Linked DNA regions of Oryctolagus cuniculus. The protein of the gene in region 4 purifies or fractionates together with the protein of the main gene of each other region. This does not show direct contact. Links are inferred from orthologs where the notes say so. Each region holds a gene or a part of one and is shown on either strand. Other genes may lie near its edges.

The links.
Region 1: the proteins of POLR3B (region 4) and POLR3G fractionate together in Homo sapiens (co-fractionation; 4 studies listed by BioGRID and IntAct, with this or other methods). This does not show direct contact. The link is inferred for Oryctolagus cuniculus from reciprocal best matches to the Homo sapiens genes POLR3B and POLR3G.
Region 2: the proteins of POLR3B (region 4) and CRCP purify together in Homo sapiens (affinity purification with mass spectrometry; 5 studies listed by BioGRID and IntAct, with this or other methods). This does not show direct contact. The link is inferred for Oryctolagus cuniculus from reciprocal best matches to the Homo sapiens genes POLR3B and CRCP.
Region 3: the proteins of POLR3B (region 4) and POLR3D purify together in Homo sapiens (affinity purification with mass spectrometry; 8 studies listed by BioGRID and IntAct, counting the BioPlex papers as one, with this or other methods). This does not show direct contact. The link is inferred for Oryctolagus cuniculus from reciprocal best matches to the Homo sapiens genes POLR3B and POLR3D.
Region 5: the proteins of POLR3B (region 4) and POLR3H purify together in Homo sapiens (affinity purification with mass spectrometry; 8 studies listed by BioGRID and IntAct, with this or other methods). This does not show direct contact. The link is inferred for Oryctolagus cuniculus from reciprocal best matches to the Homo sapiens genes POLR3B and POLR3H.
Region 6: the proteins of POLR3B (region 4) and POLR2L purify together in Homo sapiens (affinity purification with mass spectrometry; 5 studies listed by BioGRID and IntAct, with this or other methods). This does not show direct contact. The link is inferred for Oryctolagus cuniculus from reciprocal best matches to the Homo sapiens genes POLR3B and POLR2L.
Region 7: the proteins of POLR3B (region 4) and UXT purify together in Homo sapiens (affinity purification with mass spectrometry; 3 studies listed by BioGRID and IntAct, counting the BioPlex papers as one, with this or other methods). This does not show direct contact. The link is inferred for Oryctolagus cuniculus from reciprocal best matches to the Homo sapiens genes POLR3B and UXT.

Annotation. Positions count from the first base shown.
Region 1 is NC_091445.1:13,194,646-13,198,618, forward strand, and holds the start of POLR3G (DNA-directed RNA polymerase III subunit RPC7), read left to right. Parts: upstream 1-1,173; 5' UTR 1,174-1,360; intron 1,361-1,820; exon of another isoform or gene 1,821-2,041; intron 2,042-3,973. Other genes in the region: acyl-coenzyme A thioesterase MBLAC2, read right to left, coding at 280-745. UniProt on the Homo sapiens protein: DNA-dependent RNA polymerase catalyzes the transcription of DNA into RNA using the four ribonucleoside triphosphates as substrates.
Region 2 is NC_091450.1:66,207,975-66,211,474, forward strand, and holds part of CRCP (DNA-directed RNA polymerase III subunit RPC9), read left to right. Parts: intron 1-272; coding exon 273-309; intron 310-2,578; coding exon 2,579-2,677; intron 2,678-3,500. UniProt on the Homo sapiens protein: DNA-dependent RNA polymerase catalyzes the transcription of DNA into RNA using the four ribonucleoside triphosphates as substrates.
Region 3 is NC_091439.1:1,079,462-1,083,513, reverse strand, and holds the start of POLR3D (DNA-directed RNA polymerase III subunit RPC4), read left to right. Parts: upstream 1-1,252; 5' UTR 1,253-1,386; exon of another isoform or gene 1,387-1,428; intron 1,429-1,620; 5' UTR 1,621-1,625; coding exon 1,626-1,790; intron 1,791-2,914; coding exon 2,915-2,958; intron 2,959-4,052. UniProt on the Homo sapiens protein: DNA-dependent RNA polymerase catalyzes the transcription of DNA into RNA using the four ribonucleoside triphosphates as substrates.
Region 4 is NC_091442.1:109,083,798-109,087,297, forward strand, and holds part of POLR3B (DNA-directed RNA polymerase III subunit RPC2), read left to right. Parts: exon of another isoform or gene 1-2,564; coding exon 2,565-2,738; intron 2,739-3,500. UniProt on the Homo sapiens protein: Catalytic core component of RNA polymerase III (Pol III), a DNA-dependent RNA polymerase which synthesizes small non-coding RNAs using the four ribonucleoside triphosphates as substrates.
Region 5 is NC_091442.1:117,537,247-117,541,379, reverse strand, and holds the start of POLR3H (DNA-directed RNA polymerase III subunit RPC8), read left to right. Parts: upstream 1-1,333; 5' UTR 1,334-1,413; exon of another isoform or gene 1,414-1,433; intron 1,434-1,651; 5' UTR 1,652-1,671; coding exon 1,672-1,782; intron 1,783-2,405; coding exon 2,406-2,502; intron 2,503-4,133.
Region 6 is NC_091432.1:353,577-356,331, reverse strand, and holds POLR2L (DNA-directed RNA polymerases I, II, and III subunit RPABC5), read left to right. Parts: upstream 1-1,252; 5' UTR 1,253-1,322; coding exon 1,323-1,417; intron 1,418-2,019; coding exon 2,020-2,128; 3' UTR 2,129-2,255; downstream 2,256-2,755. UniProt on the Homo sapiens protein: DNA-dependent RNA polymerase catalyzes the transcription of DNA into RNA using the four ribonucleoside triphosphates as substrates.
Region 7 is NC_091453.1:33,158,954-33,161,735, reverse strand, and holds the end of UXT (protein UXT), read left to right. Parts: intron 1-1,881; coding exon of another isoform or gene 1,882-1,945; intron 1,946-2,140; coding exon 2,141-2,267; 3' UTR 2,268-2,282; downstream 2,283-2,782. UniProt on the Homo sapiens protein: Involved in gene transcription regulation. Acts in concert with the corepressor URI1 to regulate androgen receptor AR-mediated transcription. Together with URI1, associates with chromatin to the NKX3-1 promoter region.

The DNA.
Region 1 (3,973 bases), on a different chromosome or scaffold from region 4:
CACGACGCGCACTGCCCGGGACGCGTCTACACCACCAAGAGCCTGGGAACCCGAGCGCCTGGCGAGGAACCCCGGGTCGGGGATGGGGGGGCTCCCCTGCAACACGCGCAGGCAACTGCCCGGGGAGGTGGGGCCGGCTCCTACGCGGTGCTCGGAGCCGGGCCCGGGCAGGGGCAGGGGCGGCGGCAGTGGGCCCGGCTCGTACACCGTAACGCTCCCGCCGCGGCCGCGCGGGTCTGCGACCCCCATGCCCTCCCTCCGCCCGCGGGGGCTCATTACCATCTTGCAGGATGAGCGTGGGCTGCACCGCCTGCACGCGGAACTGCCTGGCCCGCCAGCCGGGGCTGGGCGCCCGCACCACCTCGCTGTCGGAGAGCCAGGTCACCGTCTCAAAGTTGTCCCCGCGAGCCAGCGCCTCGGCCTCGGCGTGGTGCACCGCCACCCGGTCGAACTGGTAGAGGCCGCCCGAGTGGTCGAAGTGCACGTGGGTGGCCACGGCCAGCAGCGGCCGGCCGGCCGCCGCCGCCTCCTCCTCCTCCCTGGCGCTGCGGTCCTGCAGGAGGCCGGAGGAGTACAGGTACTCGGGCAGGCTGCGCAGCCCCAGGCCCGTGTCGATCACCACGTCCTGCTCGGAGCCGCGCACCAGCCAGATGTTGGCGCGGTTGCCCGACTCATAGAAGCGCTCTTGGATCCAGAAGACGCCATCGCCCAGAGACTTGTGCGCGAACCACTCGAGCGCAGACATGCTGGGCGGGCGTGTGGGCGCGCGGGCCTCCGCAGCCTGAGAGCGCGGGGGACGTGGGGCGGAGACGGAGGCGGCGCAGAGCCGGCGGCGGGAGGCGCGGCCGGACGCCGCTGGACCGCGCTGCCCGCCGCAGAGCGCGGGAGCCGCTTGGCACCGCGGCGCCTCCAGGCGGGGGCCACTGCGGCACGCCGGAGACACGGCGGCGACACCGTCCCCGCCCCGGGGGTGTGCGTGTGGGGGGGTGCGGGGCTGACTGCAGAGGCCGGGTGGGGCGCGGCTAGGGGAGCACCAGGCCCACCCAGCCCCGGGGCCCTCCGCGATGCGCGCTCCCGGACGGCGGGGAGCGAGTCGGGCCGAGCCGGTTGGACGGCGGCTACGGCGCCTGCCAAGGGCTAAAAAGCTCCCGGCCCCGGGGGTGGGGCTTAGCGGGGGCGAGGGGGCGGGCCCGGCTCGGGGCGCTGGGAGCGCGGCGCCGCGGCCGCGTGGAGAGCGGTGCGCGCTTTTGGAACCGGCGGCCGCCGAGCGCTGGAGTCCGGCGCCTGGAGCCTCTGCCTGGCCGGCCGGTCAGTACTCCAACTGCAGTTTTTGCCCAAGCCCGGAGCCTGGAGCGAGCAGGTACCCGAGGAGGCAGTGGAGGGCTTGGGAGGGCGCACAGGGGAGATGGAGGGGTGCGTGGACAAGTCGGGGAGACCCGGCACCTTGCCTCCGGAGTGAGGGGCGGGGGAGGGGGCCTTGCCTCCGCCGCTCCCGCTCGCTTAGAATGTTTTAAAAATCCTCGTTTGCAGCTCCTGCCCGGTCTGCACTTCCTGGCCGCTGGGAGTTTGAAGGGGGGGATTTATGCACTTACTGATGGTGGGTTGGCCGGAGCTGGTGGCTCCGGGACTGACTCGGGCGCTGGGCAGTGCCGCAGGCTCCCCAGGTTCCGTGCCTCGGACCCCGCAGGTGGGGCGGCGCTGCTGACACCGCGCCGCTTCTTTCCGGCTCTTTAAAAATTCCGTGTTCTCCCCCCCACCCCCCCACCCCCCGCCGCCGGTTTTTGTTATCCTGCTCTTGGGTGAGAGCAAAGAAAGTTTGTAGAGGGCTCCACTGAGTAAAAGGCGGGGCACCTAGGATAATGACTGGGTGTGGCCCCGCCAGCCCTGGGAGTGGTCCCTGGCCCCACTCCACCCCTGGCCGCCGAGAGAGCATCTCCTGTCTAGCCAGGACAGATTGTAGAGAGACCCAGGAGACAGCAGGATGAAAGCCCACGAGGGTCCTTTCGGGGGCAAGTGCTCCCAAGCCCTCCTGGAGGTGCTGGTGGACCCACGCCCCTCCCCCCGCACTCGTGGAGTGCGCAGCTGGATAGAGGTTGACCACTCAGCTGGGGGCTGGCCTTACACCCAAGTCCTTGAGCTGTGTGAGGAGGAAAGTTGGAGTATCTGGGCCCAGATGCTGGTGATGGAAGGCACGGCCTGTGGACCCCACCCCAGGAGGGGAGAAGTAAATGCTGCACAGTTGGAAGGGGCTGATGGGAGTGGCGCTGCAGCTGGCCTTGGAAGGTGCTGGTAGGAGCTTAGCAGCCCTGCTCTGTGCCCTCTGGGGCTTTTCCTCCATGCAGGGGCGAAGCTGTAGGGGTGAAATGCAGCAGCACCCTTAGGTAGGAGCTCAGCAGCAATTCACCCCGGAACCACGGGACTTGGTTAGGGATGGCATTTGAGTCTCCAAGGGAGCTTCAGCTTGCTGGTCCCTGTGCCTGGATCCCCAGCTGGCCCTCCCTGGACGGCCTTTCCTCCTCCGGGCAGCTTTTCCCTCCCTTGTGTCCGGTGTGTGCTCCGATATTTCTGAATAAGAGAAGACTTTTGCAGCTACCCGTTGTGCAGTAGCACCCGTGTTTTCTGTTTTATTATTTTTTTCATATCACCTGTCACTCCCTGACATTTTTTTTTTTTTTTGACAGGCAGAGTGGACAGTAACAGAGAGAGACAGAGAGAAAGGTCTTCCCTCCGTTGGTTCACCCCCCAATGGCCGCTGGGGCCGGCGCACCGCGCTGATCTGAAGCCAGGAGCCAGGTGCTTCCCCTGGTCTCCCATGCGGGTGCAGGGCCCAAGGACTTGGGCCATCCTCCACTGCACTCCCGGGCCATAGCAGAGAGCTGGACTGGAAGAGGGGCAACTGGGACAGAATCCGGTGCTCCGACCGGGACTAGAACCCGGTGTGCCGGCGCCGCAAGGCGGAGGATTAGCCTATTGTGCTGCGGCGCCGGCAATCCCTGACATTTCTTATAAAATCATATTTTGTCCATATCCCATCTTAGACTATGCACGCCATGAGAACAGGGATCTTGCTTTGTTCACAGCTGAATTCCTACTCCATAAATGAAGGCCAGGTACAGAGGGTACTTTTTAATAAATACCTGATGGGTGGCTCACTGGGGCGCCCCCTGGGAGACCAACAAGTCCTGACAGTTACACCATGATGATTAAAAGGACCACAGGAGCCGGGTTGTACTTGGGAACCAGGAAGAAGGGAGTGGCTTGCCACCCAGTAGGGTGGTGGAAATGGTCCCAGAGAAGCATCAGGTGTATGGCTCAGAAGATGCTAGGGTGTGCTCAGGCCGATGTGGCAGGAGGGACCCTGCAAGCCGGAGCAACCCCGCGTGCAAGAGTGAGGATGCTTTGCTGAGGGGCAGAGCTGGCCTCGGAAGCGCCACTGGCTGAGGAGGGTGACGGGTAGCTGCAGAGGAACTACCAAGGGGCAGTGGACTGTAGAGGTGTATTTGTTCCATTTTATTTCTTGTCATTTCATTTGTTCTGCTTTGGAGGTCCACATGGGAGGTGCCGAGAGTCTGAGCAAAAGCAGAGTTGGAGGCCGGGGAGTAGGGGCGAGAGAACACGGAGCTGGTGGGCTTCTGCTGTCGGGTGAGGGGATCGAAGGAGACCTCCAGATGGGGTGACGATCAGGCTCCTACGGGGGCACATTCTGGGCCCTTCATCAGGAGAGAGCTGTGACCTGGCTCTCACTGCCTCCCCCTGCATCAGCGTCTGCTTCCGTCCCTGTGTCTCTACGTCTGTCTGGTTAGTTTGAGCGAGGGCCCGAGTCATGCTGCTGGGATGATGGGCCTGGGAGGGATTTCGGAGATGAGCTCAGCTCTGCCAGAGGTCGCCTTGCACCTGGTGAGAGTGGACTTCTGCATTGCAGCTCTTGGATGGTTCAGCTCCACCCGTCTGCAGCCCTCCTGGGGGTAGTGGC
Region 2 (3,500 bases), on a different chromosome or scaffold from region 4:
GAACTCATACTTCTGCCTGTATAGAATTGGGACAAGTATAGTATTTTAATCATCTGCTTGGTGATGGGTGTGTGATATGCTGTGGATATAAAAAAGAAAGAACACTCTGAAGTTGTCTACAACCTGCTAAACCATGTAGGATTTAGGACATTTCTCAGTTTTAGGATGTAGTCCCCAAATTGCTGAACTGGATTACTGGATTCTTTTATGATATTTAATACCCAGAGAAGGGTATAAGCCTGGACTGATAATAACTTACTTTTCTTTTGCAGGAAGGATGCCAATTCTGCACTGCTCAGTAACTATGAGGTAAGTGGCTTTGAAGTGGACTGTTGTATATGTTTTTCTCCCAGAAAGGTATCTCTTTACTTCTGGGGATTGTTGAATTAGATTTAGTTAGAAATTACTGGATTCATTTGGGTTTTCACTTTTTTTTTTTTTTTTTTTTTTTTTTTTTTGACAGGCAGAGTGGACAGTGAGAGAGAGACAGAGAGAAAGGTCTTCCTTTGCCGTTGGTTCACCCTCCAATGGCCACCGCGGCCGGCGCACCGCACTGATCCGATGGCAGGAGCCAGGAGCCAGGTGCTTTTCCTGGTCTTCCATGGAGTGCAGGGCCCAAGCACCTGGGCCATCCTCCACTGCACTCCCTGGCCACAGCAGAGAGCTGGCCTGGAAGAGGGGCAACCGGGACAGAATCCAGTGCCCCGACTGGGACTAGAACCCGGTGTGCCGGCGCCGCTAGGCGGAGGATTAGCCTAGTGAGCTGCGGCGCCGGCCGGGTTTTCACTTTTAAAACAGGATAGACGGCCCTGTCGGTTGGATCTTGAATTATTTGAGGCTTGATAAATCATACGTAGTATTTCTGGGAAGATGGGAAGACTTTAAATCAAGCAAACTTTCTAAGTCCTCAAAATTCTAGTAACCATTGGGGATGCCTTCTTGGGATGGAAGCCATCTATTTTAGCACTGTTTCTGTGTGCAAAAGTTTTCTAATAAAATGCTTATTTCTCTTCATAATTACCCATTTTACCTATGAAATGCTTTTTTATACATTATTATTTTGATCCTCAGTCCATAGGTGGTACCATCCTTGTTTTGAAAGTAAAGGTTTAGTTGAATCACCATTATGAATGATTAGAAGACTTAAAATTTAAGGGACTTACAGGGTAGGGTTGCTGGGGAAAGGGAGGAAAGAAAGAGGTTGATGAAGGAGGAGATGTGATAGTATTTTGTGTACCTATTTTGCACAGGGCCTATTTGGTACCAGCATCTGACAGGCCCAGTTTTCCATATGCCAGAGTCTAAACTCATAAAGAGTTAAAGGAGGTCTGAGTTTCCATTGTGTGATATTTAGAGAAGGTACTGGAATAAACACGATTGGCTGTATTCCTTCCAAAAGGTTCATCCTAAATGGTTGCTGCTTAAAACAGGAAGGAAATGTCTGTTGGTCAGCCCATTGGCTTTTAGGAACCTCTTTGTCCATTTTGAACTTTGCTAGGTGTTTGATCTTTTGTCCATTGGGGACACCATGCATTCACTGGGCCCCATGTATTTGTAAAAGGAACAGCAGGCAGGGATAGGAGTTGCATTGTATCTAATAATGGTCTGTGAGCCTGTATTTCCCTCCATTTTCTGGCAGAGTCTCTGAAACAGCAGAGATCCCTTCTCCCACCCCAGCATGGATACACATCTGTTTTTCTCTTGCTGGGAAATGTAGCATTTCGTCCTTTCTTTTTTGAAAACTATTAAATCACTTGCTTCATAATTTTTCTTTTCTGGAAAGAAATTATTATGCTAAATTTTCATATTAGAGGAACAAAACCCTTTTTAAAAATATTATATATTTAGTTTAGCAAAATTTATTTATTTTATACTCTTATCTAAATATAAAAATATTTATATATTTTTGAAATATCTGGTATGTTTTTTGAGATCAGAGATCAGTTAGATGGCATATACTGATAGGAAACATTTGAAATATTTTAATTAAAATAATTTGGATTATTTGATTTAGATAAAAGAGCATTTTTTAAATGTCTCATGCTTCTGGGATTCATATTTACTCCAATCCAAGAGTTGGGAGGCAGGTTGTAAGGAAGAAAGAGGTATTATACTTACCTAATTGTCTTTTTTTTTAAATGTACATGAAAAAAATTTTTTTTTTTTTTTTTTTTTAGATTTTATTTAGTTATTTGAGAGGTAGAGTTAGAGAGAGAAAGAGAGAGACAGAAAAATCTTCCATCCACTGGTTTGCTCTCCAAATGGCCACAATGGCTGGAGCTGGGCCAACCTGAAGACAGCAGCCTGGAGCTTCTTTTGGGTCTCCCATGTGGGTGCAGGGGTCCAAGCCCTTGGGCCATCTTCTGCTGCTTTCCCAGGCCATAAGGAGAGAGTTGGGTCAGAAGTGGAGCAGCTGGGACTCAAACAGGCACCCATATGGGATGCCCGGTGCTGCAGGCCGAGGCTTTGCCCACTATGCCACAGTGCCGTACCCCCTAATTATCTTCCAGTATCATGGACCTTGGAATAGAACGTTTCTCAAATGTATTTATAAAGTCTTTTGTATATCTCTTCCTAGGTGTTCCAGTTACTAACTGATCTGAAAGAGCGGCGTAAACAAAGTGGGAAGAATAAACAGAGTTCTGGGCAACAGAACTTGAATACTATCACCTATGAAGTAAGCCTGGGCTTCTGGAGGCCTCCCTAAGCCACCACTGAGCGCTGTTGGTTTACTCTGCTGATAACTGGCCACCCAATCAAGATCACCTCTTACCTCATGTGCGGAGTGTTACTCTAACCCAGTGTTTATTCTGTTTATATAAAAGTGGGGGTGATTTGGCCAACAGAAGTGGTTAGTTAGCCACAAAAGTGGAAGGAATAGTCTGACTGCCCTCACCTCTGAACCCCAGTTCCATATTTGGGAATCCTCATCCTGAGGCTTCTGTAATTTACTGCATGACTCACAGATCTGACTGAAAGCTATTATAGTCATGACTGTTGTACATGCATCACAGGGAAAGGATACAGTTGTTGTTGCTTTTAAAGATTGATTTATTTGCAAGGCAAAGCAACCTAGACAGTTGAAGAGAGAGACACAGAGATCTTCCCTCTGCTAGTCTCCTCATCAAATGGCCACAGCGGCCGTGGTTGGGCTAGGCTGAAGGCAGGAGCCTGGAGCTCCATCTGGGTCTTCCACTGCTTTTCCAGGTACATTAGCAGAGAGGTGGATTGGAAGAGAACAGCCGGGACTGATACCATTGCTCGTATGGAATGTCAGTGTTGCAGGTTGCAGCTTAACCTGCTACCTGATGTTGATTTTTAAATTATTTACTTATTCATTTCTTTGAGAGGTAGAGACAGAGCTTTCATCTGCTGTTTCACTTCTCAAATGCCGGCAATGGCTTGGCCCAGGTTGAAGCCAGGAGCTGGGAACTCAGTCCAGGTTTCCTGCTTGGGTGACTGGGACCCACCTACTTGAACCATCACTTGCTGCCTCCCAG
Region 3 (4,052 bases), on a different chromosome or scaffold from region 4:
CATCTCTCTCTCTCCTTCTCTCTCTGTATTAACTCTTTCAAATAAATAAATGTCTTAAAAAAAAAAAAAGAAAGAAAGAAATGTACATCTTTCTGCTTGTTATCCGAAGTGGAAATCTCTCCCAGGGGAATAATTCAAAAGAAGAAAAAAGTTTAACACACCATATGTTCACTATGTATGTTGCTTAAAAAAAAAAAAAATCCAAATGTCCAAACAGGGAAACAGGTAAATCAAGATCCAGTCCCTGGGCTGGCATTCTGGCCCAGTGGGTAAAGGCGCTGCCTGCAGTGGGCGCCAGTTCAAGTCCCAGCTGCTCCACTTGTGATCCAGCTCCCTGCTAATGTGCCTGGGAAAGTGGTAGAAGATGGCCCAAATCCTTGGGCCCCTGCACCCACGTGGGAGATCCCAGCTTTGTGGCCAATTGGCAAGTGAACCAGCGGATGGAAGATTTCTCTAACTCTGCCTTACAAAAAAAAAAAAAAAAAAAAAAAAAAAAAAAAAAAAAAATTCCAGGCTGCTGCCTGTGATACCAGCATCCCACGAGGCCCAGGCTCCTTGCTTCTGCCTGGCCCAGCCCAGGGTGTTACAGTCATTTGGGATGGGAACCGAAGCCAGGAGCCGTAGGCAGGGCTCCCACGTGGGCGCAGGACCCCAGAACTCCGGCCATCCCCGAAGGACACTTTTCCCGTCAAATCACAAGGGCCAGAGTCACGACAGAAGCTGATCGGATCCGTCCCTCCCGCGGCAGAGCAGACTCGGTTTCCGTCTTCTCTCCAGGACCCGGGCGACCCTGAGCCCAGAACGGGGGACGGGGCAGCCGCTCCGGAGACGCCCCTGAGCCCACCCCGGACGCCCCGCCGCTGCCCCGCGGCAGTGACCGCCCCAAGGTCACCACACAGCGCCCGCAGCCGGGGCTGCCCGGGGCTGCAGCCGGGCCCCGCACTCCACCCCGACGCGCGACCCCACTGCTCCGAGCGGCTAAGTCGCGGCGAATTCCGCCCCCGTCCCCACTGCCCCGTGGGGTGGGGGTCGCCAAGGCGCTGCCTGGAGCTCGGCGCCCCCACCCCTGGCCCGAGGCCACGACCCACAAACGCCGCCCCGTAACGTAGCCCGGACCGGCCCCCCTCACCCCAGCTTTTTCGCCCTCTCAACCCAGCTTTTCCCGACTCCGGGAAGAACCGGGAAGAGAAGGCGGAGGGCAGCGAGACGCCGCCTCATAAATACTGTGGCCTAGCCCCGCCCCCAATCGTCACTTCCGCCCCGCGGCAAGATGGCGGCGCCCAGGCGCTGCCACGCAGACTTCCGCCCGGCGCGGAGACTAGGGGTCGGCGGCGAGTGGCGTCGGCTGTGAAGTGGGGACGCGCGGTTGCGGAGCCCCAGCGGCGTGTGCGTTCCTGCCTCGGGCCTGGCGGGGGGCTGGGAGGGCAGGTTAGAGCTAAGGGCTCCGGCCGGGGTGGTCCGGGGCGCCTCGCCACGTGGGAGGGGGAGGAGCCGAGACGCAGCCCGAGGGACGCGTCGGGGGCGGGTTGCAGGGGGAGCGGCCCGCCACGTGAGTGCGGTTCCGCCCCGGGTTCGCGGGTCCGTCTCCGCCGGTGACCGGGCGCCCGTTCTCTCTCTCAGGCAGCATGTCGGAAGGAAGCGCCGCGGGCGAGCCCGGCGCTCCGGGCACCCCCCGGCCCCTGCTCTCAGGGGCCCGGGGGCTCATCGGGCGGCGGCCTGCGCCCCCTCCCACGCCGGGCCGCCTTCCCTCCATCCGCTCCAGGGACCTCACTCTCGGGGGAGTCAAGAAGGTACCCGCCCGGCGCGTTTCTCAGGACACTCAGCTGTTTGGCACTCCAGGCTCCCAGATTCAGCAGATGCCCCTGTGTGGCTTGCTGTGTGCTGGGCGTGGTGTTGGGGCTCAGTCAAGTCTGGGTGCTGGCCACGAGCTGTTGAGGTGGTTTTCAGAGGATCGCGCCTGGTTCCAGACGTTCCAAAGAGCAGGGTTTACTTTCATTGTGCGTGCGTGTGTGTTGTAGAAAATGCTCTGTGTATTTGAAAGAGTGCTGGCATGCACCTGCTGGCTCACTCCCCAAATGGCCCCGATGGTCCGGACTGTTCCAGGCTGAAGTCAGGAGCCAGGAACTGCGTCTGGCCATCTTCTGGCTTCCCAGGTGCGTCAGAGGGAGCTGGATGGGAAGTGGAGCAGCCAGGACCCGAGCTGGCGCCCCAGTGTGATGCTGGCATTCCAGGCAGAGGCTTAACCCACTGCACCACAACACTGACCCGCTGACCCCTTAGTGTTTGTTTGGAGCCCCCTTTAAGAACCCTAAGATAGCCAGACAAGCACAAACGCCGCTGTCAGTTTTGAGAGGGTCCCAGAATCCTCTGGTAGATTCTGGGCATGGCATTGGGGCCCGGTGCCCTTTTCCACGTGACTGTGGCTGTGAGGAGCTCTCAGAGGGTTGGGGGTGACAGGGAATGAGACAGAGCAGACAGCAGCCAGTTTTGAAAGATTTACCTGTGTCTCGGGCCAGTCTGGTGCCAGTCTAACCATGTCCTCTGTGAGTGCTGGCAGATCTGTGTTCCCTGCCTGGGCCTTGAGCGAGAGCTGTGTGCCTGTGGTACTGATTGGCCCCCGTAGCAGACTGGAGATGAGAGACATCAGACAGGTTTCTTTGCATTTGGAGGTGCTGGTGGGGCTCTCAGAGGGCAGAAGCTGCTAGTTAGGATGGTGTCGGGTTCCCTGCTGCCCGTGTGACTGTGCTGCCGCCGTGGCAGGATGGCTCTCCTCGCCAGGCAGCTGTGTGTCTGTGTGAAGGTGTGATGACAGCGCAGTGTGTGCAGAGGGCCTCAGGGTGGGCTTGGTCCCCAGGAGATGCCCTTTGGGGGGTCAGAACGGATCAAGTCAGTGACTCTTGCATTTTGCTTTCAGAAAACTTTCACCCCAAATATCATCAGCCGGAAGATCAAGGAAGAGTAAGTAGCCTGAATACTTGCCCCTTGTTTCTTTGCACAGGCTGGGGCTGTGGGGGAAGTAACTAGCTTATGGCTCAGAAGTGTAAAAATTTGTGTGTCCATTCTTTGCACTGGTGATTTTTTTTTTTTTAAGATTCATTTATTTTACTTGAAAGAGTTACACAGAGAGAGGAGAGGCAGAGAGAGAGAGAGAGGTCTTCCATCCGATGGTTCACTCCCCAGTTTGGCTGCAACGGCCGGAACTGCGCTGATCCGTGCCAGGAGCCAGGAGCTTCTTCCAGGTCTCCCACACAGGTGCAAGCACCCAAGGACTTGGGCCATCCTCCACTGCCATTCCAGGCCATAGCAGAGAGCTGGATGGGAAGTGGAGCAGCTGGGGCTAGAACTGGTGCCCATAAGGGATGCTGGCACTTCAGGCCAGGTGTTAACCCGCTGTGCCACAGCACCGGCCTTGCACTGGTGATTGTTAACCCTGGCTTGCAAATGATTTTTTTTTTTAAAGATTGATTTATTTGAAAGGCAGAGTTACAGAGAGGGGGGTGGGGGTGGGTCTTCCATCCGCTAGTTCATTTCCCTCTAAATGGCCTCAGTGGCCAGTGTTGGGTCGGGCGGAAGCCAAGAGCTTCTTCCGGGTCTCCCATGTGGGTACAGGGACGCAAGTACCTGGGCCATCTTCTACTGCTTTCCCAACAATAGCAGGGAGCTGGATTGGAAGAGGAGCAGCTGGGACTCAAACTGGCGCCCATGTAGGATGCCAGGTGATTCTTAAAGTGCAGGCCTTCAAAAAATACAGATCCCCAATGCTGCATCTCTAGAAATTGTGATTGGACTAGTTTGCAGTGAAACAGAGTGATGCTATCTTGCAGCCAGAGTTGAAAGGCAACAGTTTAAATTTGGGGTGAGGAGTGTCCGGCTTGCAGGACATCTGTGGCCCACGAAATCTGGTGTGACCCTGCCAAGGCAGCCGTGGGCAGAACTCCCAATTCAGTTAACTCTCCGGGCAGCTAATGTAAGTTGATGACTGTGTATGGCCTGAGAATGATGTTGTAACTATCAGAATAGCCCGTGGCAGGAAGGAGGTCAGACAGATGTGA
Region 4 (3,500 bases):
TAGCCAGTTCCCTCCCTGCTGTCACTGAGTACTGCCGGGCTGGTAACGTACGGGGGTAGGGGAAGAAGAGTAAAGCAGTAAGGTGTGGGTTCTATGGTCTTATCAACCAAGGGCGAGGTGTGGATGACTCAGCCCCTTCCCCGTGTACAGCCAAGTGGATGTGCATCTGTTGTACTGATGGAAGAGAGGTTGCGGTCAGGAGAGCGACCCCCTTACTTACTTTCTTTCTTTCTTTCTCTCTCTCTCTCTGTCTCTCTGTCTCTCTTTCTCTCTGACAGAGTGGACAGTGAGAGAGAGAGACAGAGAGAAAGGTCTTCCTTTTCCATTGGTCCACCCTCCAATGGCCGCTATGGCCGGCGCACCGCGCTGATCCAAAGCCAGGAGCCAGGTGCTTCTCCTGGTGTCCCATGCGGGTGTAGGGCCCAAGCACTTGGGCCATCCTCCACTGCACTCACGGGCCACAGCAGAGAGCTAGACAGGAAGAGGGGCAACCGGGACAGAATCCGGTGCCCCGACTAGGACTAGAACCCGGTGTGCCGGCGCCGCAGGCAGAGGATTAGCCTAGTGAGCCATGGTGCCGGCCTCCCCTCACCTTCTTTAGTAGCCGTCCCCTCCTGCACTGCCATTTCAGTGGCAGCCCCAACGCTCTTTCAGAGTAACACAAATGTCAGAGCTGTTACTTCCTATACACTGCTTTGTTGTGTAGAAGAAGTTAATTTTTTTAAGATTTTATTTATTTGACAGGTAGAGTTACAGACAGTGAGAGAGAGAGACAGAGACAAAGGTCTTCCATCCATTGGTTCACTCCCCAAATGGCCGCAATGGCCAGAGCTATGCTGATCTGAAGCTAGGAGCCAGGTGCTTCTTCCTTGTCCCCCATGTGGGTGCAGGGGCCCAAGGACTTGGGCCATCTTTTTACTGCTTTCCCAGGCCATAGCAGAGAGCTGGACTGGAAGAGGAGCAACCGGGACTAGAACCGACGCTCATGTGGGATGCCGGCACCGCAGGCGGAGGATTAACCTAGCGCGCCACGGCAGTGGTTCCAGAAGTTATGTTTTTTGAATTGCTTTTGTGTCTTCCATTTGAAGACTGGTTGAAGTACATTTATTTGTAGTCAGTTAACTTAGTTGGTTAAAATCCAAGGCCTTGCCCACATGTAGTCAGTCTGTCTGCCCTCTCCTTATCTGGTGACCTCAAGGGGAGGGAGCACCTACCCGTGACTATTTCTACCCACAGATAAAGTTGTATGAATGCTGTGCTTGGTTATGCAGTTTCTACTATAATGTGTTCATTTAAACCTGACTTTTTCGTGTGTAGAGTTTCTTTCAACAAGTAATCTATGGCTTTTTTTGATTCTCCATTGTAACATTCAATCCCATGCCAAAAACAGCATTAAAATTTCTACACACATTGGCATACACTGTGTTCACCTTCTTAATTCTTTAGAAAGCTAGTGACAATGACAAAGATTAAAAGATGCTGTGGAATAAAGCAAACCTGGAGTTTATGGTCCACGCTGCTCCAAGAGCTCCTCCAGGAAGTGTCACTCTGGGGCCAACATAGTGGCCCTGAGGGTTAAGCCACTGCCTGCAATACTAGCATCCCATATGGGCATCAGTTTGAGTCCTGGCTGCCCTACTTCCAATCCGGCTCCCTGCTGATGTGCTGGGCAAGCAGTGGAGTCCAGCCTAGGTGTTTGGGTCTTTGCCACCCACATGGGAAACACGGAAGAGGCTCCTGGCTTTGGCCTGGCCTAGCCCCAGCCATTGTGGCCAATTGGGGATTAAACCAGCTGATGGAAGACCTCTCTCTCTCTCTCTCTCTCTCTCTCTCTCTCTCTCTCCCTCCCCCCCTCTCTCTCGCGCACGCTCTCTCTCTCTCTGTAACTTCCTTTCAAATAAATAAAAATAAGTCTTTTAAAGAAATCACTCCAAAGTAAGCCAACCACAGAGTTCACGTCTCCCTTGGTTTTCCTTTTCTCAAACAGTTTGTGTGGTTAATATTGAGGTGAGGTTGCCTGAATTATTCGGAATTCCCTAATTTTACCTCCATCACTGGTTCTTGGGTATTTAACCTTTTAAGGTTTTCCCATCATATATTTAAAACACAGGGAGTCCATTCAGGGGACAGACCTGTCTACTAGGGGACTCTTGTTTCAGCCACTGTCTGTTCTGCTGAGTTTTTCTGCTTTAAATAACAGAATACCAAGACAGCTCTGAGAACGCTCAGACATCGTTCCGTGATTGGAGGACTTTACTATTGGGATATTGCTAGCACTAATGTTTTATGTGGTAATATACTAACACATTATTGCATCATATGATATAATTATGGTATTTATTAATAACCACCAGTAGTATGTCTTTTCTCATTGGAGGCTCTTTGGGATGGGTAATTTTTTGCACTTTCACAATGAGGCTAAGCAGCAGTGTTCAAGGTTACTGTCTAGTAAGTGAGTTGGATCCAGGTGAGCCCAGCTCCAAAGCCTTGTGCTCCTAGTCAGCGTGTGGCACTCTTTGTTTCTTTACTATAATAACACATTTGTCTAATAATTTGTTTCAAAGGCAGCCTACAGAAGGTCGATCTCGTGATGGTGGCTTGCGTCTTGGAGAAATGGAACGTGACTGTTTAATCGGTTATGGAGCCAGCATGCTTTTGCTAGAGAGACTAATGATTTCAAGTGATGCCTTTGAGGTTGATGTCTGTGGCCAGTGTGGACTTCTGGGGTATTCTGGCTGGTAAGTAGATCCCATGTGTCTCTCCTACCACACCCCTTGCCTCTAAAATCACAGCTCAAGAATTGAACCTGGATAATCCATATTGTCCCATCTCTGCCTCTGATCACCAACATGCCCTTCCCCCTATGTGCCTGTAATTGAGGAAGCTGTAGGTTTTGTTTATCTGCATAACAATTTGCTTTTATATTTACTAGAATTTAAACTTCCAAGGAGTAGATACTTTTATCTTTTTTTTTTTTAATGTTATCTCAAATGCCTTTCATAACACTCTTTACCCAAAAAATTCCTAGCAGATGCATTGTGTAAAATGTCCTCATTTGTAACCTCTGACACAGAGAACCAGGTAGGTTGCCACGGGCCTTAAATAAATTGATGATAGAGCCAAAGGACCAGGGTCTGGTGCCATGACCCCTTGTCTGTTTTCTCTGCTGTGGCCAGCTACTTCACCCTTGCTCTGTACATTCCACGAGAGAAGCCATGTCTGTCTTAGTCATTCATTCAGCAAATATTTAATGAGTATCTCACTATCAAGTGTCACGTGGCTGTTCCAGGCCTCAGAAATGCTGGTACAGTAGTGACCAGGACAGGTAAATGGCTGCTCACGGGGAACTTGTCTTCTAGTTCATTCTGAGTGGTTACATTCTGTCTTGTTGACCCCTGCGTCTCCAGCCTGGGACCTGGTCCATGGTTCACAAAAAATAATTACAAAATAATATCTTGCATTTGTCAGATTGCCCATAAGTAATTGAAAGCCTCCTTTGG
Region 5 (4,133 bases), about 8.5 Mb from region 4:
CCCCACTGATCCAGCTCTCTACTATGGCCTGGGAAAAGCAGCAGCAGGTGGTACAAGTGCTTGGGCCCCTGCACCCATGTGGGAGACCCCGAAGAAGCTCCTGGCTCCTAGCCTTGGCCTGGCCCAGTGCTGGCTGTTGAGGCCATCTGAGGGAGTGAACCAGTGGATGGGAGACCTCTGCCTCTCCCTCTTTCTCTGTAATTCTCACTTTCAAATAAAAAAAACAAAATGAAAATCCAGTTATTCCCATATCCACCAATTTTATATTATTTTTATTTTTTGACAGGCAGAGTTAGCGAGAGAGAGAGACAGAGAGAAAGGTCTTCTTTTTTTCTGTTGGTTCACCCCCCAGATGGCCGCCATGGCCGGTGCTGTGCAGATCCTAAGCCAGGAGCCAGGTGCTTCCTCCTGGTATCCCACACGGGTGCAGGGCCCAAGCACCTGGGCCATCCTCCACTGCCTTCCCGGGCCACAGCAGAGAGCTGGCCTGGAAGAGGAGCAACCAGGCCTAGAACCCGGTACCCACATGGGATGCGGGCGCCGCAGGCGGAGGATTAACCAAGTGAGCCATGGCGCCGGCGCTTCCACCAACTCTTAGAGGCAGCACGGGTATAAGCTTAGAGGGGCTCATCTCTGGCACGTGGCAGCCGGTGGCCCTGGACAGCTTGCTGAGTTCTCTTAGCCCGCGTTAGTGTCCTGTCAGAGGGACAGGACAGGATCCTGGGGGGAACAGAACGGGCAAAGCTGGAGAGAGGTGCCAGGGCCAGATCGCACAGAGCCCAGTGAGCCGCCAGGAAGGAAGGTTTTGGACTTTATTCTCAGTTCAGCGGGAAGCTACAGAGGAGTGTGTGTGTGTGTGTGTGTGTGTGTGCGCGCGCGTGTGTATACTATATATATATGCACTGTTATATATTCTATATACATACACTATATAGAGACTATATATATAGTCCCAATTGATTATCACTTCAAATTGAGATGTAATCTGCCTACAATGAAATGCACGGAGTCTGATGAGAGCTGTCAGCTCTACGAAGAGCTAAAAGGGGGTCGAGAATATTTCCATCACCCAGGAAGGGTCCCTCCGTTCTACTTCCCTGTCAGGGCTCCCCGACTCCGGGCGGAAGGTCGGAAGCATTGCCGACTTGCGTTTTGCAAGGATCGTTCCGGATGCGGGGACCCGCAAGCAAGAGATGCCCCAGCCCGGGAGAGCGGCAGGGGGTTGCCTAGCAACGAGAGGCGCCGCCGGGTCTTCCCGGGGAGGCCCCGCCCCTCCCCGTGCGGCAGCCTGTAGAGAGCCCCGCCCCGCGTCTGGGGGCGGACAGAAGCTTCTTATTGGTCGGCTCTCCGGAAGCGACGGGATTCGGAATCTCGCGCACGGTGGTTAACTCCCGCAGCTGCGTGCCGTGCGCGGTGCGAGGCGGCGGCGCGTGGTGCGGGCGCGGGGCGGAGGGGCTCTCGTGCCGTGCGCTCCAGCGAGGGCGCTGCCCGCCGGGCCTCTGTTTCCCGTCGCTTCCGCAGCCGAGCATGGCCCTCGCCGGGCGCCGCAGACGCTACCGCGCAGCCCCGCTGTTGGCCTGAGGGGGGCCGGTCGGGCACGGGGCTCCCAGGACCCCAGGCCCCGGTGCGTGACCGCCCGTCCCTCTCGCAGAGCCGCCAGCGCAGGCCGGGATGTTCGTCCTGGTGGAGATGGTGGACACCGTGCGGATCCCCCCCTGGCAGTTTGAGAGGAAGCTCAACGACTCCATCGCCGAGGAGCTGAACAAGAAGCTGGCCAACAAGGTGCGGGGCGGAGCGTGCCTCACGGGGGCTGGCGGGGAGCGGGGGAGAGGCCGAGGACGGGCCTGAGAAGGGGGCTCGTGCCTGGGGCGTGCGCGCTCGCACAGCGCGGGTCCCTTCGTCTGCGGCGAGTTGCCGGCCCGCCGCAGGTGCGCCGCCGCTGGGGCGCGGACCAGCCGTCTGACGCGGGATGCAGGTGGCCCCGGCTTAGCGCGCGCCCGTCACGGCTCTGTTCCCTCTCTACCTCTGCCTGCCTGCTCCATGCCTGTCTGTTGATGGAGTGGATGAGTGGCGGAGCGGTGTCCCGACCAGCAGGCGGAGCGGGGGTCCCTTCGTTGGGCGTGACGAGTTGGGGTGCACGCTGCCAGGGACTGGTGCTCGCGAACCTGTGGCACGAGGGAGCCGCGTCCGCAGCGAGGGGGTCAGGCAGCTGTGGTGGGAGCCGGCGGCCAGGCTGAGCCCTGCTGGCCGGGAGGCGCTGACCAGAGGGTTTGTGGGTGGGAGAGAGGTGTGCAGGGCCCCGGCCCGGTGGGCGGAGCCGGGCGCCTGTCCTGGAGGCGCTGCGGCTTGGATGGGCGGGGGCGGGAGGTGGCGGCAGCCCGCGGTCACCGTGTGTCGCGGCGCAGGTGGTGTACAACGTGGGACTCTGCATCTGCCTCTTCGACATCACCAAGCTGGAGGACGCCTACGTGTTTCCAGGCGACGGCGCGTCGCACACCAAAGGTAGGCGTCTTCTCGGGGCTGGGGCTCCTGGCAGAGATGGCCGGGGTCCTGTCCCACCTGGGGACCCTGGAAGTGGGCAGCCCCCTCCCCCTCGGCCTGAGCGTCTGCCGGGGCGGGGGTGGATCGGCGACTCTCAAGGCCTCTCTGGGTCCGAGGCTGTGGTCCATGGCTGTGCCCCTCCTCCCGCCCACTGCCAAGCCCTGTCTGCCTGGTGCTCTGGCCACTCACTGCCCTGGGAGAGGGCAGGCCAGGAGCGTGGGGACGCCGGAGTGGCCCTCGCGGTTAGAAGAGAGAGGCAGGCCGGCGCCGCGGCTCACTAGGCTAATCCTCCGCCTAGCGGCGCCGGCACACCGGGTTCTAGTCCCGGTCGGGGCGCCGGATTCTGTCCCGGTTGCCCCTCTTCCAGGCCAGCCCTCTGCTGTGGCCAGGGAGTGCAGTGGAGGATGGCCCAGGTGCTTGGGCCCTGCACCCCATGGGAGACCAGGAAAAGTACCTGGCTCCTGGCTCCTGCCATCGGATCAGCGCGGTGCGCCGGCCGCAGCGCGCTGGCCGCGGCGGCCATTGGAGGGTGAACCAACGGCAAAGGAAGACCTTTCTCTCTGTCTCTCTCTCTCACTGTCCACTCTGCCTGTCAAAAAAAAAAAAAAAAAAAGAAGAGAGAGGCAGAGGGAACGGAAGAGCAGGCCGGGGGGGACCTCAGGGGCACAGGACGCAAAGCTTAGCACTGACCTTGCGAGCTTTGGTGCGCGCCCAGCGCAGGGGTGTCTGCATTCCGGCACGTGCCGGGAGGCTGCCAGGCGTCTGTCCCGGCATCCCGAGAGCTCACTGGTCCACACGGTGTTGCCGTGCGGTGCAGAGAGCACAACAGGCTGTCTGTATGAGTAGAAAAATCAGACCGTGGCATGGAAGCCGTCTTGAGGGCCCCTGGCCACAGAGGAGGCCACCAGGCCAAGCCTGGTGTGCACTGGACGGGGCCTGGCTGTCCAGGAGACAGGTGGTCACAGGCACGAGGGCCTCGAGGAGAAGTGAGGTCGCAGGGATCTCTGCTCGCTTGATTTCTGACACCTGGTGTAGGGTTTGCACCGCTGTTTTGACTTATGTGTGTATTTATTTATTTTGAAAAGCCGAGTTAAAGAGGGAGAGACAGAGCTTGTTCATTTGCTGGTTCTCTCCCTAAATGGCCACAACAGCTGGGACTGGGCCAGGAGCTTGGAGCTTCATCCAGGCCTCCCACATGGTGCAGGGGCCCAGGCACTTCATCCGGGAGCTGAATAGGAAGTGGAGCAGCCGGGACTCGAACTGGTGCCCACCTAGGTTGCAGACAGCTGCTTCATCCACGACACTACAACATCGGCCCCTCCCACTTCTATTTTTTATGTATTTTTATTTCATTTCTTTGAAAGGCAGAGTTAGATCTTTCATCCACTGATTCACTCCCCAGATGGCCACAACAGCAGGGGGCAGGCCAGCCGGAAGCCAGGAGCTTCATCCGGGTCTCCCACATGGCTGGGAGGGCACACTTTGAGCCATCTCCTGCTGCTTTTCCCAGGCCATTAGCTGGGAGCTGGATTGGAAGTGGAGCAGTGGGACTATGAACCGGTGCCCGTGAGGGGTGCTGGCACTGCAGCCTA
Region 6 (2,755 bases), on a different chromosome or scaffold from region 4:
CGCACGCGGAATCCCAGGAATGCCGCCTTGGCCAGGGCCCCCGCAGGGGAGGGCGGCTCACTCCCCCACTCCCACAGTAAACAGCGGCGCCCAGTGGGAGCAGGGGCGGGGCAGGCCCCTGACCCCTCCCCCAGGAAGGCCCCACTCACGCGCTGGGCGCCCACCGGGCTGGCCTCCCGGACCCGGGCTCCCTCTCCTCCACAGCCGCGGCCGCCGAGCCTGGGTCTGACCCCAGGCCACGGTGACTCACGGCCCCATCCTGCCCCTCTGGCCAGGGCAGGATGTGCGTCCACTCAGCCTGGGGGAGGGAGGCAGAGAAGGGAAGTGGCCAGGGCTCGTGGCTCCGCACGTGGCCGAGAGGGCACTAACCCTGGCAGGGCAGTGGCTCTGGGCAGCCCCACTCCGGACCTGAGACCCTTCGTCCCCGTCCCTGTCCAGCGTCTGCCCTGAGCGGGCACTCAGCAGATGCCGGGGTCCCGCGTGAGGACCCCGCCCCGGCCACACATCCAAGGCCAGCAAACCTGGCCAGAGCCCCGCGGGGGCCACGGGCAACACCCCCACAGCCCTGCGGCTCCCCAGCCCGCCTGGGGCAGCCGGGGCACCAGGCTCAGCCCGGTCCACCCGGGAGGCAGCAGCCCCGCCCGTGGAGCCCCTGAAGGGGACGCACAGCTGGGGCTGCCCCTACGCGGGGGCCCTGGCCTTCGAGGGTCAGCTCAAAGGGGCTGACCACACGCCCAGCGCCAGGCCCGGGAAAGAGCGAACAAGACGCCGACAGACTGCCGTCGGGGCTCCCAGCAACTCCCCGCGGGGACCCGAGCCTCGCGCAGGGCTCAAGGGACAGCGACCGGGTCCAGGCCGGGCCGGGCCGGGAGGCGGGAAGGTCCGTCCGAGGCCTCCCGCCCCGGGGCCAGACCCTCTCGCCGGGCCCCTCGCCCGGCCCCACTTGTTGCTGCGACCGGCCTGGGGCTCCGCACTGGAGGTGGCGCTCGCGCGCCGCGGCTGATGTCCGCGTCCGGGTCCAGCCGGCGCCCGCGTAGTACCTGGGCCGCCGCCTCCCGCCGCCGCACCGCGTCGTCCGCTCCCGCCGCGCAGCTGTCAGTCAAGCGGACACGAGAAACGCGAACCGGCGCCGCCGAGCCCTTTTGGCCGAGCCCAGTCGCCGTAGCGCGGCACGTACCAAACCGCCGGACGGGGGGCGCCGCCGGACGCGGCCTCCAATCGGCGCCGAGGAACCCCGCGCCAGTGGGCGCGCCCGGGGCGGGGCCTGCAGCGCCGCGGACGGGCCCGGCAGTGCGCGGGGCTGCCGCGGAGTGCGCGCCGCCATGATCATCCCGGTGCGCTGTTTCACGTGCGGCAAGATCGTCGGCAACAAGTGGGAGGCCTACCTGGGGCTGCTGCAGGCGGAGTACACCGAGGGGTGAGGCGCCGGGCGCGTGGGGCCCGGGGGCGGGGCGGGGCGGGGACCGGGCCCACCCGCGCCTCCTGTCCCGCGCCGCGGGCTGACGCGGGGCTGCGGCGGGGCGGAGGGGCAGGGGCTGCTTTGCCGAGGCCCCTCGGTCGCGCCTTCTCACTCCCAAGCCGCCTCCTCCGCCCCCCGGAGCCAGCGCTGCAGGAGTTTTCTGGAAGCGTCTCGTTGGTTTCCGGAAGTAGAAGGGTGGCTCCCTGAGAGTGGGGGTCCCGCGGGGCTGCGGTCGTGGTCGGGAGTCCCGGCCCCCGGGGGAGGGGGCGCCGGGGCTGCCCTGGCCACCGTGAGCCCAGCCTGGGAGAGGGCGGGCCGGGGCTGGGCCGGGAGGCTGGAGCCTCTGGGTGGGGAAGGGGTGGCCCTGGGTGGCTCCTCCCCGGTGCATCCTGGGGGGACCTGTCCACCTGGCCTGGAGCAGGGGCGAGCCCGGCTGTCTGGTCGCAGGGATGCTCCGGCCGCTGGGCCCGGGCTGGGCCGGGAGGCCGGAGCCCCCGGGTGGGAAGGGGCGCGCTGGGGGCGAGCCCGGCGCAGGCCGCCTCACTGCTGTCTGGTCGCAGGGACGCCCTGGACGCCCTGGGGCTGAAGCGCTACTGCTGCCGCCGAATGCTGCTGGCCCACGTGGACCTCATCGAGAAACTGCTCAACTACGCGCCCCTGGAGAAGTAGCGCCGCCCCGCCATGGCCCGCGGCGTCCTGCCCTGCGTCCTCGCGGCCGGGCTGTCAGACGCCGGGAGCAGAGGCGGGCCGCGCGCACGCATGTCGCCAGCCGCCCAGTAAAGTCCTTGCACAAACACCACTGGTCCCCTCCTTGGCCTCGCTCCGCCCCCCCCCCCCCAGTCCACCTGGCCCAGCTGTCTCGGGGTCCTGGTTCCTGCTCCCTGGTCCCCGCCCACCCAGCGTGGCTGCTCGTCCGAGCCTGCACTGCCTGCTGCGGTCAGCGGCTGCCCTTGCCTGGGTCCCCACCCTGTGGCCCTGTCGGGGTCGCACCAGCCCTGAGCGCCCTCAGGCTCCCGGGGGCCCTTCCCGGGCTGTCCCTGCGGGCCCAGGCTGAGGGCCAGGGAGCAGCTACTCCCAGCAACCCACACGGGGCCGAGCCCGCGGTCAGCTGGGGACGGGGACCAGGGCAGAGCAGGGCCATGGTGGCCGAGCCACTGCTGTCCCCAGGGTGTTGGCCGCATCGCAGAGCTGTCCCCGGCTCCTGGCAGGACCTGCAGGCCCCTCGTCTGCTCACTGCCTGTGCCACAGTGACCACAGTGGGCCCAGGGCCAGCTGGAGACGCCAGCACCCCTACGC
Region 7 (2,782 bases), on a different chromosome or scaffold from region 4:
CTGGAGGGGAAGATCAAGAGCTCAATCTGAGGCCTGTTAAGTATGAAGTGCTTAGTGAACACTGAAGTCGATTTTTGAAAAGGTTTTATTTGAGAGGTAGAGTTACAGAGAGGGAGAGACAGAGAGAGAGGCCTTCCATCCGTTGGTTCACTCCCCAGATGGACGTAACGTCTGGAGCTGCACCTTTCTGAAGCCAGGAGCCAGGAGTTTCCTCTAGATCTCTCTCATGGGTGCAGCAGCCCAAGCACTTGGGCCATCTTCCACTGCTTTCCCAGGCCATAGCAGAGAGCTGGATCAGAAGAGGAGCAGCCGGCACATGAACTGGCGCCCATATGGGATGCTGGTGCCACATGCAGAGGCTTAGCCTACTACACCACAGGGTGGGCCCCAGAAGTCGATTTTTTGAAGATAGAGTTAAAACTCCCAAGTCCGGTTCAGGAAAGGTCTGGGCTGGAAATACAAAGTGTGCGAAGTATTGGCATATAGATGAGTTCATCCTATTTTTTCCAGTGTAACAGCCTATCTTGTTACTATGTACTTTAATTCAGTACTTAGATTCATTTTCCCCTCAAACTGACTGCACCATTGACAGCATAATAAAATCCACATTTCTCATAATAAGAAGACCCTGCATGATCTAGCCCTTCCTACCTTTTTGGACTTTATCTTATACCACTTTCTTTCACTGTTCACTTAATTTCTAAGTTTCTGATCTCCTGGCTGTTCCTTAAAAAACTCTTTCCTGCCTCTGGGCCCTTTTGCTGCTTAACTCTTTCTCAGTCAGTTCCTTCTCATTCTTTGTATCAGTGAGGATTATTTCAGGAGGGACTTGATCCAAATTGGCTCACACAAAAGGAATTTACTATTTTATGTATCCCAGCAGTCCGGAGCCAGGGTGGTTTAGGCACTTCTAGATTCAGGGTGCCTAGGCCTTAGCATCTTCCTAGCGTCCTATCTCACACCCAACAGCTGACCCTTTGGTAAATCCTGTAGGCTCTACTTCCAAAATGCACCCTAAATCCAGTCATTTCTCAGCCACTGTGGTCTGATCCTCCATGGCTCACCTGGACTATTGCCATAGCCACCTCACTGGACTTCCAGCTTCCACACTACTCTCCTTATCCCTAGTCACTCTACACAGCATCCAAATGGATCCTCTGTGACCCAACTCAGTTCACCTCCCTCCTCTGCTCACAGCCCTCCCCTGGCATCCAGCTCACTTAGCAGAAAAGCCAGGCTCTTTAACATGGCCTTGTAGGTTTACACAGCCTGCCTCCCACTCCCTGCACCCACCCCCTTACCTCCCTGACCTCAGCTCTTCTAGTACCTCTCACTTACTCTTCTCCAGCCACAATGCCCTATTAGCTGTGACTCAAACATGCCAGGCACACTCCCACCTCAACACCTTTGTATTTGCTGCTACTTGTGTGTGGAACACCGTGCAGCCTTCATATAGCACTATTTGCTTCTTTACAGCTTCACTCAAATGCTTCTCAATGGAGCTGTCCCTAGGCACTGTATTAAAAATGGCAGCTCCCACTCCCATACTACTTTCCCTCCATCACTGCTTCCTTTTTTCATTATACTTAGAACCATCTGACATACCATATATTTTAGTCCATCATTTATTTGTCTCTAAGAATTTGAGCCCCGTGTAGGCAGGATTTTTGTATGTTGTGTTTGCTGCTATCTCCCCAGTGCCTAAAACTGGCATACATTAGACATTTGGTAATCCTTGGATCAGGTCCAGACTGTGGTCAGGCATCTCTGCACAGCAGATGGGTGGAAGTCATCCCAGATGTAGGTAGTTCTTGAAGTGATGAGGAAGGGTCATCTTCATAAGTGGGGCCCACTTTGCACATTCTCGTTTCTTTTCTCCAGGCTCAGCAACAGCCTCACCAAGGACTCCATGACTATCAAGGCCCATATCCACATGTTGCTAGAGGTGAGAGCAGCTCACTCCACTCCCAGCCTCTATGTCCAGATGTGGTTAGGGTGATGACCTAAAGAAGGGAGAGAGCCGACGAAGGAAAGGACCATCTTTCCTTCTAAACTGGATCCAAGGGCGGGGAGGTCAGAGCAAGCCTGAGGTGGGGCCTGGACCCGTCCCTTGTTAAATCCTTTCTGTCCTTTTTTTCAGGGGCTTAGAGAACTACAAGGCCTGCAGAATTTCCCAGAGAAGCCTCACCATTGACTACTTACCGCATCCTCCGACATTAAAGATCCTGAATGCCTTTGAGTCACATGGCCCTTCTTTTTCCCCCTAACTCCTGCGGGTTGCCAAGGCACCCTGTTTCCAGAGTCCAGCATTAATTGGAAGATCTAGTTTCTCTATGGATCCTTTAAAGCACCCTGGAAGTCCTGCCTCCGGCCTATTGCCTGGCAGCATTTGCTACTTGACTTTAGGCTCTGCCCTCTGTCACCATGGCAACCTCACACACACACACCCTTCCTTGCATTCCTTTTACTGGCTATCGCCCTTTGAATTGCCATGGAGAATGGACAGGTTCAGGGTGGAGGTTTGTTCCCATGGCAATCAGCCTTTCACTCCTAGCCCTAAGGTTTAACCCTTCTCCCAAATCCCAATCGTTCCTCAGGTACCATCAATTACACCCACGCCAGGCTCAGCCCAACCTTGGCCTCTGCTTCCAGTTTCCACCAATAGGCGCAGAGCCAAATTCTGCCCTCCCTGGTCCAGCCCCCCAGTCAGCACAGAGCCAGGTTCCGCCCCCTTAATAACTCTAGCCACAGCTTGACCCTGTCTTTTCTGTGAGCACTTAGT